2 linked regions of the Caenorhabditis elegans genome follow. The protein of the gene in region 2 purifies or fractionates together with the protein of the main gene of each other region. This does not show direct contact. Each region holds a gene or a part of one and is shown on either strand. Other genes may lie near its edges.

Region 1 (5,320 bases), on a different chromosome or scaffold from region 2:
ACTCAACCAGGCCGATATTCCCCAAGAATTCAAAGTAATCAATTTATATCAAATAACTCAATCAGATCTTTCATTATTTCAGTATCGAACATCAGTAATTGAGAGAAACAACCTAGAATTGGAGCATCCCGATGTGGATTACACCGCACCCGAATTTCTGACACTGATCATTACTGATGTCGGCGCAATGAAGCCTGAAGCTGTTGGAGAAGAACTCATTAAAATGTATATCTGAGGGTAGAAATTTATTTGAACGTGTATTTAATTCAATCAAATTAAATTAATTTGTTCTTGTTTTGTTTTTTATAATTATGATTGGTTTTTTTCTTTTACAAAAATAAAAAATAACGTGGAACCCAAAACTATTCATTTCGAGTTTTTAAAAACGCTCATTCATCAAAAAGATGAGTGAAAAGCACTTTATTTTGCCATCTAGCATGCTAATGATAGTTTCGGCTGTCTTCGGAGGTATCGGAATCATCACTACAATCGTGTTCGTGATTCTGACAGTTCTTCATTCAAAAAGTGCGGTTTGTAAACCTGCAGGTTAGTTTTTGTTGCGAAATTGTGCAATTTTTACCCAGAAAGTACGGTTCCCGGTCTCGACGCTACAATTGTTAAATTCTGAAAGGTGTGTGCCTTTAAAGTGTACTGTACTTCGAATTTTTAGACTTTTATTAGTTTTTCGATATTTAAATATTTATTTATTTATCTGAAACTATGAAAAATCGATGCAAATTCCATAACAACGAAAATCTGAAATTACAGTACTCTTTAAAGGCGCACACCTCTTTGGATCTATCAAAAACTTTGCCGTATCGAGACCGGGTATCGTATTAGCATGACGAAAATCGCAAAATTATCTGGATAATATAGTAATGCTGAAGAATAAAAATTTGCACATTTTCAGGCAAAGAAGACATGAAAAAACTGAACGGTATCGAAGGAATGCAAACGATCAAAGAAGAATGTGGAGGATCAACTGAAACATCCTCGTCGAAACCGAAGAAAAAAGCCAAGAAAGAAGTCTGATTTTTTTTTTTTGAATAAATTTTAAATTTCTTCGTGAAGACCTTTTCTACGTTCTTTTAATTTATAAAATAGACAACACTTTTAACTTGATTTCCTACTCATTTCGTTAAATTCAAATCTAGCAAAAGGGTTATACGGTTACAAATCTTTGTAAAGTAGAAATATGCTTTTGAACAAACTCATTGTGGCAAATATTGTGAGTTTCTAGTTTTCAGCAGATTATTTGGGAATCTTCTTGGTTTTCAGATGATTAGTGTGACTGTTCTACTCCAGGGAACTATTCCAATGGGGTACGTATCTGGACTCGCGTCATTTTGGATGGTAAATTCTCATCTTAAAGACGTTCCTAACTCTACGTTTTCAGCTCTCAGCAGGTAGCGTTTTCCTCGTACTCGCAGTCATCACATTCATCGCTCTGTTGTTTTTGAGTCGATCTAAATGCATGTTGGCAATGAGCCAAAGAAAAGTAATTCCTAGTTTTAGAAAGTTATTTTACATTCTACAAAAATTTCAGTTGGCCATCTATCATGCTCCAGCACCAGTCACATCGTTGCTTTCGCTCATCTTCTTCATCGTGTACACATTCAGTGCCAAAGCTCCCCACGAGCATACAGCAATTAAAAACTGCATTGTGCTTCTGGATGTAAATTATATTAATCGACATGATTTTCTCTTTAATCCAACAATTCAGGTCGGAGTGGGAATTGTTCTGATGATTTCTCTGGTGCAAGTGCTTCTAGCGTTCCTGAGCCACCCGGAATATCCTGAGGAAGATAATGATGAACGTTGATTTATTTCGTAATAAACTGATTCTTTCGTATTTGTTTTTTCATTGTTTTAACACATGTTGTCACACTAAATTCGTGGTTTTGACGCAAAAATAGCCTAAGAAACACATAATTTTGATAGAGTTTATATAAAAATTCGTAATAGCGGCGCAAATTGAAATTCTATTCATGCAAAACTTCTAATGAAGTGTTTTTATTCTGAATTCAATAGAAAAATAAATTCTGAAGCGCAAAACGGCAAAACCCACTCGACATGCGTGTAGTGCGTGACGCACAAAACGCTCCTCTTCCGCCAATTACCGTATTCTCTCATCCACGAGATTCACACATGCGCCCAGCCTTCTTTTATTGATTTTCTGTCGCCGCGGCGAAGGAGTGGCACTTTATTTACATAGCTTTTTTCATTGCAAAGCACAAAAGCAACATAATTTGTAGAATTGTCTCGTCAACTTGCTCTCACATGGACCAATAATCGACAGAACGACTGAAAAAATGGCTTGCAATTTGTCACCGGTGAATGAGATGGCAGACTCAATTACGAGCAGCACACCGTCTGAGGTAAGTGGTGGCAAATGAACCATTGTTGCAACCGAGTGGCAGCAGCAGCGTCTCCCGATAGTTATCTCGGTTCTCTTATCGTCGCCCCCTACTACTATTCCTCGGCCAGTAAATACCGTTATGTTTCTCTTCCGCACTTCTCTCTTCATTATTGATTGTCGCTAGACACAACAAAACAGTTGGGACGGGTAATAGGAGGATTTTTTTATGCTGCATTCGATATTGATGGGAGAAATGTTATCTCAGATTGTGTACGGCGGCCCCGGCTCACCAGATGAGCATCGAACAATGTCGGATAAAGTGCAGACAATGGCTTCGGCAATTTATCGAGAGTTGGAAACAATGATAAAAGTTCACGGAGAAGATGGCGTGAAAGTGAGTTTTTTCGGAATTTTACTTTAAAATTTATTTAAATGGCTGTTTTCGCAAAAAATGTCCCAAAACAACCGGATTTCATAATAAGACTGATGGTTTTGAAAAAAAAAACGCTTTCTTTCTTCTGAAATCTTCAATTTTGCCAACTTTTCCGTGTCGCAACGGCCGGAAATGAATTTTTATTGAGCATCATTTCGATCTTGCTTATTTTTAGTTGCCTATCGCTTCAAATGTACCAAACTCAACGAAGTAACACGAGATAAACGACAAAATAAGCGAAAATCGAATGAAAATAAATTTCCGACCGCTGTGGCACGGAAAAATATGCAAAATTGTAGATTTTAGCTCATAGTTAAATATTTTTCAAAACATAGAATCGTCATAATTAATTGAAGAACTTTTAAATGATATTTTTACGAAATTCGGACTTTTTAGACCATTTTTTGATCAGAAATTGAAATTCTATGTTTTTACTCTACTTCAATACTAAATTCAGTATGTTAAACCAGTCAGCAGGTAAATTTATGCTAATTTTCTTCTCTCTTTCTCTATTATCATTCAATAAACTAAACATTTTCAGACTCTGATGCCATTGGTTGTAAATGTGCTCGAAGCATTGGATCTTGCCTATTTGGAACGTGACGAGCAGACTGCAGAACTTGAAATGCTCAAAGAGGACAATGAACAGCTTCAGACACAATATGAACGTGAAAAAGCACTTCGAAAGCAGACAGAACAGAAATATATTGAAATAGAAGACACGTTGATTGGTCAGAATAAAGAGTTGGACAAAAAGATAGAGTCACTTGAATCAATAATGAGGATGCTCGAGTTGAAAGCCAAAAATGCCACTGATCACGGTTAGTTTGTTACAGTTAGTTAATTGTCACCTCAATTATTAACTCTTGTGTTTTTCTTGGATAAATTTTTAAAAAAAGTATTATTTTTCAGCCAGTCGTCTGGAAGAACGTGAAGTGGAACAAAAGCTCGAATTCGATCGTCTCCACGAACGATATAATACTCTATTACGAACCCATGTAGATCACATGGAACGTACAAAATATCTAATGGGAAGTGAAAAATTCGAATTAATGCAGAATATGCCATTGCCAAATATGCAACTTCGAAACAAGTAAGTTTAATTTAATTAAATTTAAAAAAGTGATTAATATTTGACTGTTGTGTCGTTGTTTGTAGTTGGTTTCCAATATCACATCGCTTACATAAGAGTGGTGATCAAAGTAATTTGTCATTGTGAGTTTTGTGTCTGGAATTTTTGTTATTTTTCGGGAAGGTTTTTTTATTTTTCAAATTTTTGATTTTTTTTCGATTTGGTTATCCTCCACTTCACTCCAAATTTTGAAGCGCATGAAGAAATAAAAATCACCAATTTTTTTGAATTTATTTTATTTTCTTGATTTTCCAAATTTTTTATCACTGCTCTAAATGTCAGAAAAGAGATCATAATTACTGTTTAAAAAAATTTTCTAAATTTTTATGTTTTCTCCAATTTTGCAAAAAATGCGATATTTGTTGTTAAATTCCCGCAAACGATATAGATCTTTGAAAATGCTTCAATTATATTTATTGTTTAAAAAAATTGTATAAATTCGCTCATTACGATATACAATTTAAAGCAAAATTCCCAATTTTATCATTTTCCAAAAAGAATTTTGTTAGGCAAACACTTCTTCCACCTTTAATAACTTGGTTCGGTCCCCTAAAATCAAAATTTTAATTTTTAAAAGATATTATTTAAATTACAGAATGGGCATGGCTGCTTCTGTGGATGCATCATCAATTCGTGGAGTATCTGATCTTATTTCTGCTCATATGACACAATCAACCACGATGGATGTTAATCTTGCAAATCACATCACAAACGAAGGTGAGTTTTTTACGCGACCCTTCACAAATATGTAAAAATACAAAAAATTCTATATATCGCAAAATTTAGTTTATTTATTTATTTCCGATAATTTTTAACTAACATGAACTCGAATCCTCAACTAACCTTTATTGGTATGCCAGTTTTCTTCCGATTTCCATGCTGCAAAGGTGCGGCACGGGTTTTCGCAACCGCCGCGCGTTTTTTTAAAACTTTTTTTAACAGGAAATTTCCAACGGATTTTTTTCTGTAAATTCACTTATTTTCCAACTGCATTGGTTTATTGCTCAATTTTTAGACCTTTTTGGCTTAAATAAACCAGTTCAGTTGGAAAGAAATTTTAAATTTCCCATTAAAAAACCATTTTTAATTGTATTCCGTACGATGTTTCCTGTTGAAAAGTGAAAAAAAACCCGCTCCGCACCTTTTCTCAATGGAAATTGCAACCCTCATTCTTTTAAATCTTAAAATACTAATTTTCCAGACTGGCAAGACGAATTCTCATCAGATATCGAACCATCACCCAGGGATATTCCACAATCATCTGCTGATGCGTTGACTTCACCAATTACAACCAAAGAGCCGACTCCTAAACGAGAAGCTGCTTCACCGAAACAATCAGAAGAGGAAGAAGCTGACGAGACAACTTCTGTGTAAGTTAATTATGATTTTAAAATTT
Region 2 (8,272 bases):
ATAAGAAACTGGGTGTCACCAGTTGACAATATGAATGGGGTGCAAACAAAGAGTAATCGATAAACAACGAATTTTTTGATAGACGATGTAGGAGTTCCAAAAACAACACCAAAAACGGCTCTTTTTTTGCAGAGATCTTGTATGTGCCACGGGTATGCGTTTGAATTTTTTTGGGCATCGCGATGACCTCCGTTTTTTTTTAAGTGTCCCATGGATTATTGCTTGTACCTCGCCGCTAGATAGATGAATACTTGTGCTCTTTCTTTAATCTCTCTAAAAAGGGATTACCGTTTCTCGATACAAGCTCATTGATTGAGTATAGTTCGAAAATTGCTAATTGTCGTCATTTTGAGGTGGTTTATAATAAATAAAAATTTGAATATCATCGCTACAGTAATAACGATTTTTTCTCGTTCTGTCTCACTTCCAGGAGAGCTGACATCGGAGAGATTGTATCAGTTCCGGAGCTGACAAGAAGCCGTTTCCAGAGCAGGAATGGAAATGAATGCCAAAGGTGATTCCTTCAAACCTCATTTGCCAGACTACAAGGTATTTTCATAAGCTGCACTCTAAGATGCTCTGAAGCTCTTCCAGAAAACGCGTACTGAACTCATCTCTGCCAAAATGGAAAATCAGAAGTTAACATTTCAAAAGGAAATGTAGTTCAGTTTTTATGTGAAATCAGTTCCGCAATAATTCAATTTTTAAAAATTCAATTTTCAATTTATCTGAAGCTTTATTTTAAATAAAATTTGAACAAGTTAAAACAATGACTAGAAATATATAAATTATAAAACTATGGCATGTGCTGATTTTGGAAGTGGAGTGGTGAGCCAGAAAAGTTCTGAAAAAAATTGGCATTTTTCAAAGTTTTCTAGATTTTAATTTATCATCACGTTCTCACCACGTTTTATTCACAACTTTTACTGCAAGTTGAGCGATTTCAAGTCTCGAGCAAGACGTAGACGCAAATGTTGGAAGTTCGGAAGGATTCTCTGGGTGCGGAAAGTTGTTTGAAAAATGCTCGACGATTTTGTTGACTAGCTCAGCGTCGGCGGGCTCCGCAGTTTTGCAACATCAGCTTGAAGAAAATGGTGTAGATTTCGAGCATTTGATCCAGATCTGAAAAACAAGAAATTGGAGGATTCGGGCGATTGAAAATAAAAAATCAGAAATTTGACTAAGACTATGTTTCCACTGACGATGGCATGCAATCTTCAAGCAGGTCCCTCTTCCCAATCAACGTTGTAATTTTCTCCAAGTTTTTGATGCAGTCAATTTTCAGCTGTTGCCTTGCAATTCTCTCCCCTATGCAAATCCACGATGACCAGGTTCTTTCCTGGGTAGGTAGAAGGTCTTTGTGCTTCTCCTGGGCTATGACAAAATCGTGCTGGTGCTGCCAAGATATGTAGTTCATGGCTTCTTGATACTTGTCCATGAAGTTTACGTGGATCTCAAATTAAGATCTCACATCCACCTCTATGTCTGGAGATTTTTTGCAGGATTGTCTCCATAACTGTCACCGATTTCTTTACAAACTGATCCACATTTTCAGGCATAACTTCTTGAACCAATTGCTCCAAATTGTCCTTGATCGCACTTGTTTCGACAAGAAATCCTTCGAACGCTGCCTTTTCGTCGCGATTCCGTTGTTCGTAATTTGCATTATATTGATGTTTCTTTCTCCATTTTTCTTCAGCAGAAATTGGGATTCTGTTGTTCTTACGACTGCATCTTCAATGCAAAAAGTTTTTGCGGTCGAAAATGGTGATATCAAAGTTTTGAGTGGATTCCTTCAAGTTCGAGTGGCTTCCTTCAAAGGGTAAATGTCTGGAAAGTTTTAAAGTTGGAAATTGTGATAAGTAGGTGCTGGTTACCATAATACTGTAGTTTGGAGCAGCAGGCATTGTGCTCTTGATAGCAAGTTATAATTACTGTAAGAAAAATAAGTGAGAAAACTTTCTAGATTGAAAATTTTCAAGATTTGATCAAAATAGAAGTAAGAAAAAATTTAAAAAACTAGCAAGAAAAACTATTCAGAAATGTTGTTGCAAATCCGCCCCACGGACAACCGGAAGGCGTACAGTTAGCGTCTTTTTTTGGCGGTGGCGGCAAAATAGAAGGTGTTATTGTGTTTATGTATTTCTCGTCTAGCACCCTCTTACTTTTACACACTCTCTCACTCTCTTTCTCTTGGTGCCACTTTATCATATCCGGCTCTTGTGGCAAACTTACTTTTGATTTTTTTTTTCTTTTAAAATCCAATTATACCGTAGTTTACCGTACTCTCGATTTTCAGAAACTTCGCACAGTATGGCTTCATCACCAAGTTCTTCCTCCAGCCAACTCCGTAAGTTATCTCATAACAATTATTTTGAAAAGCTCTAAATTTCCAATTTTCAGATTAGGTGAGCAAAGTATCGAAGGCAGATTAGCGATGCAAAAAGTGTACCACACTCGAAAGTCACTTACAAATCGATAAAATTTAAGCAAAAATATATCAAAATTTTAGAGAAATTGCACCACGAACGTCGTCGGAAAGCGGAAAGTGAGGAGCAGCAGAAACAGAACAGAAACAAGAACAGAAAATTAAAAAAAAAACGGATTATCAGTAAGTTGTCCTAAATGAAATTTTAATTTAAACTTCAAATTTCAGAAATATCCCGGAGCCCAGTTGCAAGCCCAGTTGACAAGCTTGCAGCCTCCTCAAAAATTGAACCAGATTCTAGGAGCTTCCCCGATGATCGAAGGATTTTGTGGACAAGAATCGGTAGGTTATTGCTTTCTTAGAAAACTTTAAATGGTCCTTATTTTGCAAAATGATATGCGTTAAACTACCAATGCTTCGCAAAATAGAACAGCCATTAAAACAATTTACATTTTTTTGAGAACTTTTATTACGATATTCGTCCATTTGGACAGATTTTTAGTTTGTTCGTTTAAAAAACCCAGTATTTCTTTTTAAATCATACCTAGAATTTCTTCAAAAAGTGAACTGGAAGCAACCGAGAAACAAATATTATGCAGAGAAGAGCACCAGTGATGATATCAGACTCGTTTCAATTTTAAAAGAATGAGAATTTCTGAGAGAACACGAAAGTGATAATTTGCTTAAAAGTCTTCAATAATTAGTTGACACAAGGCGTGTTTGGGATCGACTTCAATTCATCTTCGGTTTTTGAAAGTCGAATCACGTCGACGAACCAATCCGCAACTTGATTGCATTTTCCATTGATCTGAAATTACAGTCAGTTTTTGTACTGAAAAATTTGCAAAAAAAAACACTTACAGCTTTGAACTTGTAAGCACTTCCACTGGCAGGGTCGTAATCAAGGTAGAAATCATGCTTCTGTAGAAAAACCTTTGTTTTAAAAATTTCTCCAACCTATTATTTTACCATTAATTGCCTATATTCAGGTCTTTCTCGAACATCCTTTCGCAAGCATAGGTCCAAGAATTCAATGAATAGAGGTGAAAAACTTCGCTTTGTCTGAAACATAGCGTATTGAAAACGTAACGGAAATTCCGAAACCTCTTCTCTCAGACTTGGTGATGGCAAATTCAGGTTTGCAATAATGGTGAGAGTTGTGAATTCCATGTCATTTAGTGGAAATGGGTAGAGTCCAGTGACAAGTTGGTAAACAGTGATTCCCAATGACCAGACATCGCTTCGAACGTCGTATTTGGAATTCGTCTGCAATTTTTTCAAACTTCATTATTTACTTTTAGACCTATTAACAGGAGTGCCCCGCGGCTCACTGTTGCGATCGGGACGTGACCCACATTTCGGGTCAAGATTATGTTTCAAAAAAAAAAGTTCAAAATTTTTTTTTTGACATGTCAAGCATGATCAAGCCGAAACTAGTAGCAGGGAACCGGGGCAAGTTGCGGGAAAAATCGGGCGCGTGGAGGGCGTCACCGCCACCGGCACATTTTTGTTCACAGATCAACATTCAATTTCATACCTCGATAGTTAATCTTTCAGGAGCCATATATGGCGGACATCCTGCACTTTTGGAATGAGCCATCGAATCAGTCATAAATCCACTTATCCCAAAATCACACAGCTTTACATTGCCGCTGTCATCAAAAAGGATATTCGAGGGTTTTATATCGCGATGTATAATCGACTGAAAATCCGGAATTAGTTGTTTAGTTTGTGCACAGCAGTTTCTCTTTAATCTCTTACATGTTTTTCCTTGAGATAATCCAGTGCACTAATCGCCGAGTAGACGATGTGACCGGCCACAAACTCGGGGAAAAAATCCAATTTTGAATGATAAATGCGACGCAGCAGCTTCTCACAACACGCTGACATGATTTGCATACAAATTTTTACAGACGACTGGAAATGGAGGAATTGGATATGTTAATAAGAATGTCACACTTACATCAAACATGAAATATCCGTAACTGGTGACAATGAACGGAGAATTGCACATTGACATAATTCGGACGTCACGAAGAATTCGTTTCAAATTTTCCTTATTGTCATTTTTGTACATAGTCTGAAGAAGACAAAGCTGAGGGAACCGTTATGATTCTGTGTCAACGTATTCTCTAGAGTCGCATTTATCAAACTACTGTTCTCACATTGAAAGAGGTTCAGAATTTTTACTGAAATTTGTTTTCCACCAATTTTAGAGGTCTCTCCTCCTCTCTAACGCATTTGCTTTGCATTGACAATTGAATCAAGAAAAACGAAAACAATGGAATTTCTAATGGTCTTTAGCACCACTACAATTTTTCGCCCCCGCATGATAACCCGTGAAGGACCCCTTCTCTTTTGAATTGCGTATGCAACGATTCTGTCAATCTTTTTTCAAGAGTTCATACTGGAGCCATGCAAGATTTATTCTATTCAAAGTGGTCCGGATGTGTATCTCAACCATACATCACTGCCTCCGTGTGAGGGGTAATGCTCACCTTCACAGCCATCAATTTTGAGCGAACCGTCGCAGATTCGACTACACCACAAGAGCCGCTTCCGAGCAGGCTGATGATGTGAATCTCGTTTGGGTCGACAACTTGCTTTTCTCCTGATAGGAAAAAGATTTTAAAAATTAAAGCTTTGATGTATGTCTTACCATCAATTTCTAATGTTCCCGATTTCTTGTACCCTTCTAGAAACTCGTATTCCAACGCATCTTTCTCAGTATCTCTTCTGGATGGCGATGGTTTCATGGAAAGCGGAGTAACTGAAATTGTATGTATGTAATAACTAAAGGTCGTTCTCCAGGCACACATTTTCTTTCCATGGGGCTTGTTAAATACCCAATGTTATTCGGCCGTTGGTGTTGAGGACTTGAAGATGTGGAAGAGCATTCTGTAAAACAAAATTTGAGGGAATTAAGAATGACAACACATACGTGTTTTTTGGAATTGAGCCGATGATCTCATCACAAAGAATAATTAGATGGAATTTTAAGAATAATGATGCCATTTGAAGGCTAGACACCAATATTTCAAGACAAACCTTTATGTTTTTGATCTACCGAAGTTGATCGGCGATCTCTCGGCCGTAGCCGAACCTCAGTCAATCCCAACTTCAAGAATTTCCATTTTCTCACCCTCGTCTCCAGATCTAAAATCAATTATTACAGACTCAACACGGAGGAAATGAGATTGTGTGTTTGGCGCTGATTGACACTTTGGTTATTTTTAGTAGTTTTTGTGGTACCTATTGCCCGAGAAGCCAAGTACTTTTCTTATCAAGAGGTATAAGTTCGTTGGCTACCTTGTTTCACTAAAATTTAGGTTACAGGTTGAAAATTAATTGCATCAGCATCATCTGGGTATCAGTCAATGAGCGGTTACCGAATTTGCCAATCGCTGAAATTTTCAGCAACCGGCAACCGTCGGCTGCCGAGGCCTTGGCGTTGTTCAAACATATATTTCTGTTAAACTCATATTTCAGAGTGTTTTTCGAGGAAAAAATATAATTGTTTTATTTACAGTGACGATATTCGCAATATTTAGGGTCTTTGAATGCGTATTTACAAAACAATTGAAATTAATATCGAAAGTTGCCGAAGTTGGCGAACGATAAAACTTTCGGCAGCCGACAACCGATGATTTCCGAACCTAAGGCTACTTTCTGGCAATCAGCAACTTGGTTGACCTGTTTTGCAGTTCATTAAATTTTCATCAAAGATTCTAAACGGAATATACATAATCTACGAATATTTTGCTACGTACTCAGCCGACAATAAACAAATATATGAAAAATTATATGTTTACCTCGTAATCTTTGCTGAAAACAGACATTCTCCATTTAAAACCAAGGTAGAGTTGACAACAAAATAAAAGAATGAAAGAATGACCCGTTGGCCGTCGTCGCTCGTTCCGAAATTTTAATAAGAAGACGTATGTGAGGTTCCTCGCGGCAGCGACAGCAGCAGCAGCACCACTAGCCCAATGTAGTAGACGAAATGGCAAGACACACACAGCTATCGATTCTGAATGCACAATGCTAGTCGAAGAAGCGCAGGGGCTCCCGGTCTGGCCCCTCTTCGCTCTCATCACCCACATCGTGGAGGAGGAGCCGTGAAGAAGGAGAAGGGGGAAGGCTATAAATGCACACACATACTAGTGAAAATATGCGGGAAGAACTGCTCCTTTCTTCGGCTCTTTCTCTCTTCTCGCGCATGTCTCATTTCCAATTGGTCCCCCCATCATCCTCTATTTCGACGCGTTTGGGATGCGTGAATCTTTGCAGCTTCAATGGGTGGTCCTATAAGAGAGAAAGGCTAAACGCTAATGGGCGATTTGAATGGGGGCAAGTTTGGAGGAGGTCTTTTTGTTGCTCATCTTCTTTGTGCCGGCAAATAGAAGTTACACGATGACACACAGACATGCGCCTCTGCACAAATCTCATCAGCGAGAAAATTGGGTGAAGCATGTTCTGTTGAAGACGATTCGAGGTTCCAAATAGAAACGATTCACCTGGTTAAAAATAATACTCCGAACAAATGTTTGAGTCACAGTTGCTTGTTTTAAAACTTGTAGACATTTTTGGCCACGTTTCAGAATTACGATTGTTTGACTATGAAAACAAAATTCAATTAAAAAAAATAGATTTACCACAATTTGGACAGGTTAACCCTTTTGGTGGGGGATATTTCAGATTTAAAATTATTTACATTTCAAGCAACCTTTTGAACTTTTGGTCAAGTCTCGTGTTCTTAGTTCCTTTTGCAAGATCTCACGTTTCAATACCACATTTCTTCTGATTCAGTTACTTTCACATTTTCCGGTCTGTCTGGGAGCAAACACAAAGTTCCGAAAAAGTCTTGCTCACTCATGCACATTTCAACAGCAAAAAAAGTTCGTTTATTGCGTTACGGGGTAATACATGTACGTGGCTTAGTTAATTTTGATTAATCCTTTCTCGTCTTCAGCTGAATAGAGCCCGAACTTTTTGAATTTTGCCTCGGTCATCTTTTTCAAATCGGCGTAGGTAATATGGTAACCCATGAGTCTGTCGAGATAGTTGAACCACGGTTGGAAACATGTCAGTGGTCTCAGATGGTGCATGTCATGAGCCGGAGCACCCGAGTAGAACCAGAAAATGCGATGAAGAGCAAATGGGAAGTCGTATCCAATGTGAACCTGAATTCAACTTTGTCAACTTTAAAGGTCAAATTTTAATACCTCATAAGAGACGCTCTGGGCGATAAAGAACCAAATCCAGTAGGTCAAGCAGTGAGTTGGGAAGATCCATGGGATAGTGGTGATGAATGTTCCAACAAAGAACAGCTGAAAAAACTTACTATTTTAGTTATAAATCTCAATTTTCAAAAACCTCAAATGGGTGAAGATGTTGTGCAGATGCTGCGAATGGGGATGAGTACATATGATGAACAGAGTGACACCAGCGGTAGAGCCATTTTACCTGCAAAATGTTGAGTGATATTACCATGATTTGTGTATAGGACAATTATGACTATCAGTGATTCATTCCACTGATAATATAATTTTTGAATCGCTGAAAAATATGTAATAGCTTTATGAAATTCAAACTGAAACGTGCTTAACGTTGGTAAAAAATTATTTCGAATCTTAATTTCAAGTGAGAGAAAAGCTGCTAATGAAGAAATCAACATTGATGTAAATTATGACGTCATAGCATAAACTAAAATGCATTATGTGACGTCAAAATATACATTTTAATAAACCTCTTTGCATACATGGATAACCAAATAATAGGAATCGTAAAAATAAACACTGAAACGTTTGCAACAATCAAAAAGTTCCTATCAGGACGTTTCGA

What was found. The genes of interacting proteins can lie anywhere in the genome.
Region 1: the proteins of jkk-1 (region 2) and unc-16 purify together in Caenorhabditis elegans (affinity purification with western blotting, with the first as the bait; one study listed by BioGRID). This does not show direct contact.

What each region holds. Positions count from the first base shown.
Region 1 is NC_003281.10:9,544,047-9,549,366, forward strand, and holds the start of unc-16 (JNK-interacting protein), read left to right. Parts: upstream 1-2,248; 5' UTR 2,249-2,312; coding exon 2,313-2,378; intron 2,379-2,624; coding exon 2,625-2,753; intron 2,754-3,333; coding exon 3,334-3,613; intron 3,614-3,704; coding exon 3,705-3,885; intron 3,886-3,950; coding exon of another isoform or gene 3,951-4,007; intron 4,008-4,519; coding exon 4,520-4,641; intron 4,642-4,744; coding exon of another isoform or gene 4,745-4,775; intron 4,776-5,125; coding exon 5,126-5,294; intron 5,295-5,320. Other genes in the region: eif-2Balpha (Translation initiation factor eIF2B subunit alpha), read left to right, coding at 1-34, 83-235; ZK1098.9 (uncharacterized protein), read left to right, coding at 405-546, 911-1,032; ZK1098.12 (DUF2975 domain-containing protein), read left to right, coding at 1,196-1,228, 1,279-1,353, 1,397-1,498, 1,547-1,675, 1,724-1,822. UniProt on the Caenorhabditis elegans protein: The JNK-interacting protein (JIP) group of scaffold proteins selectively mediates JNK signaling by aggregating specific components of the MAPK cascade to form a functional JNK signaling module.
Region 2 is NC_003284.9:5,366,667-5,374,938, reverse strand, and holds jkk-1 (Dual specificity mitogen-activated protein kinase kinase jkk-1), read right to left. Parts: upstream 6,472-8,272; 5' UTR 6,275-6,471; coding exon 6,241-6,274; intron 5,624-6,240; coding exon of another isoform or gene 5,604-5,623; intron 5,585-5,603; coding exon 5,477-5,584; intron 5,327-5,476; coding exon 5,246-5,326; intron 5,199-5,245; coding exon 5,088-5,198; intron 5,040-5,087; coding exon 4,927-5,039; intron 4,509-4,926; coding exon 4,392-4,508; intron 4,346-4,391; coding exon 4,190-4,345; intron 4,131-4,189; coding exon 3,966-4,130; intron 3,695-3,965; coding exon 3,533-3,694; intron 3,491-3,532; coding exon 3,398-3,490; intron 3,350-3,397; coding exon 3,290-3,349; intron 3,237-3,289; coding exon 3,129-3,236; 3' UTR 2,771-3,128; coding exon of another isoform or gene 2,657-2,770; 3' UTR 2,612-2,656; coding exon of another isoform or gene 2,513-2,611; 3' UTR 2,351-2,512; coding exon of another isoform or gene 2,314-2,350; 3' UTR 1,908-2,313; coding exon of another isoform or gene 1,878-1,907; intron 1,831-1,877; coding exon of another isoform or gene 1,203-1,830; 3' UTR 1,123-1,202; coding exon of another isoform or gene 905-1,122; intron 845-904; and 1 more. Other genes in the region: F35C8.8 (uncharacterized protein), read left to right, coding at 2,314-2,350, 2,513-2,611, 2,657-2,770, 5,604-5,623; F35C8.5 (Cholesterol 25-hydroxylase-like protein), read right to left, coding at 7,366-7,611, 7,654-7,758, 7,805-7,894. UniProt on the Caenorhabditis elegans protein: Dual specificity protein kinase which acts as an essential component of the JNK signal transduction pathway. May phosphorylate jnk-1.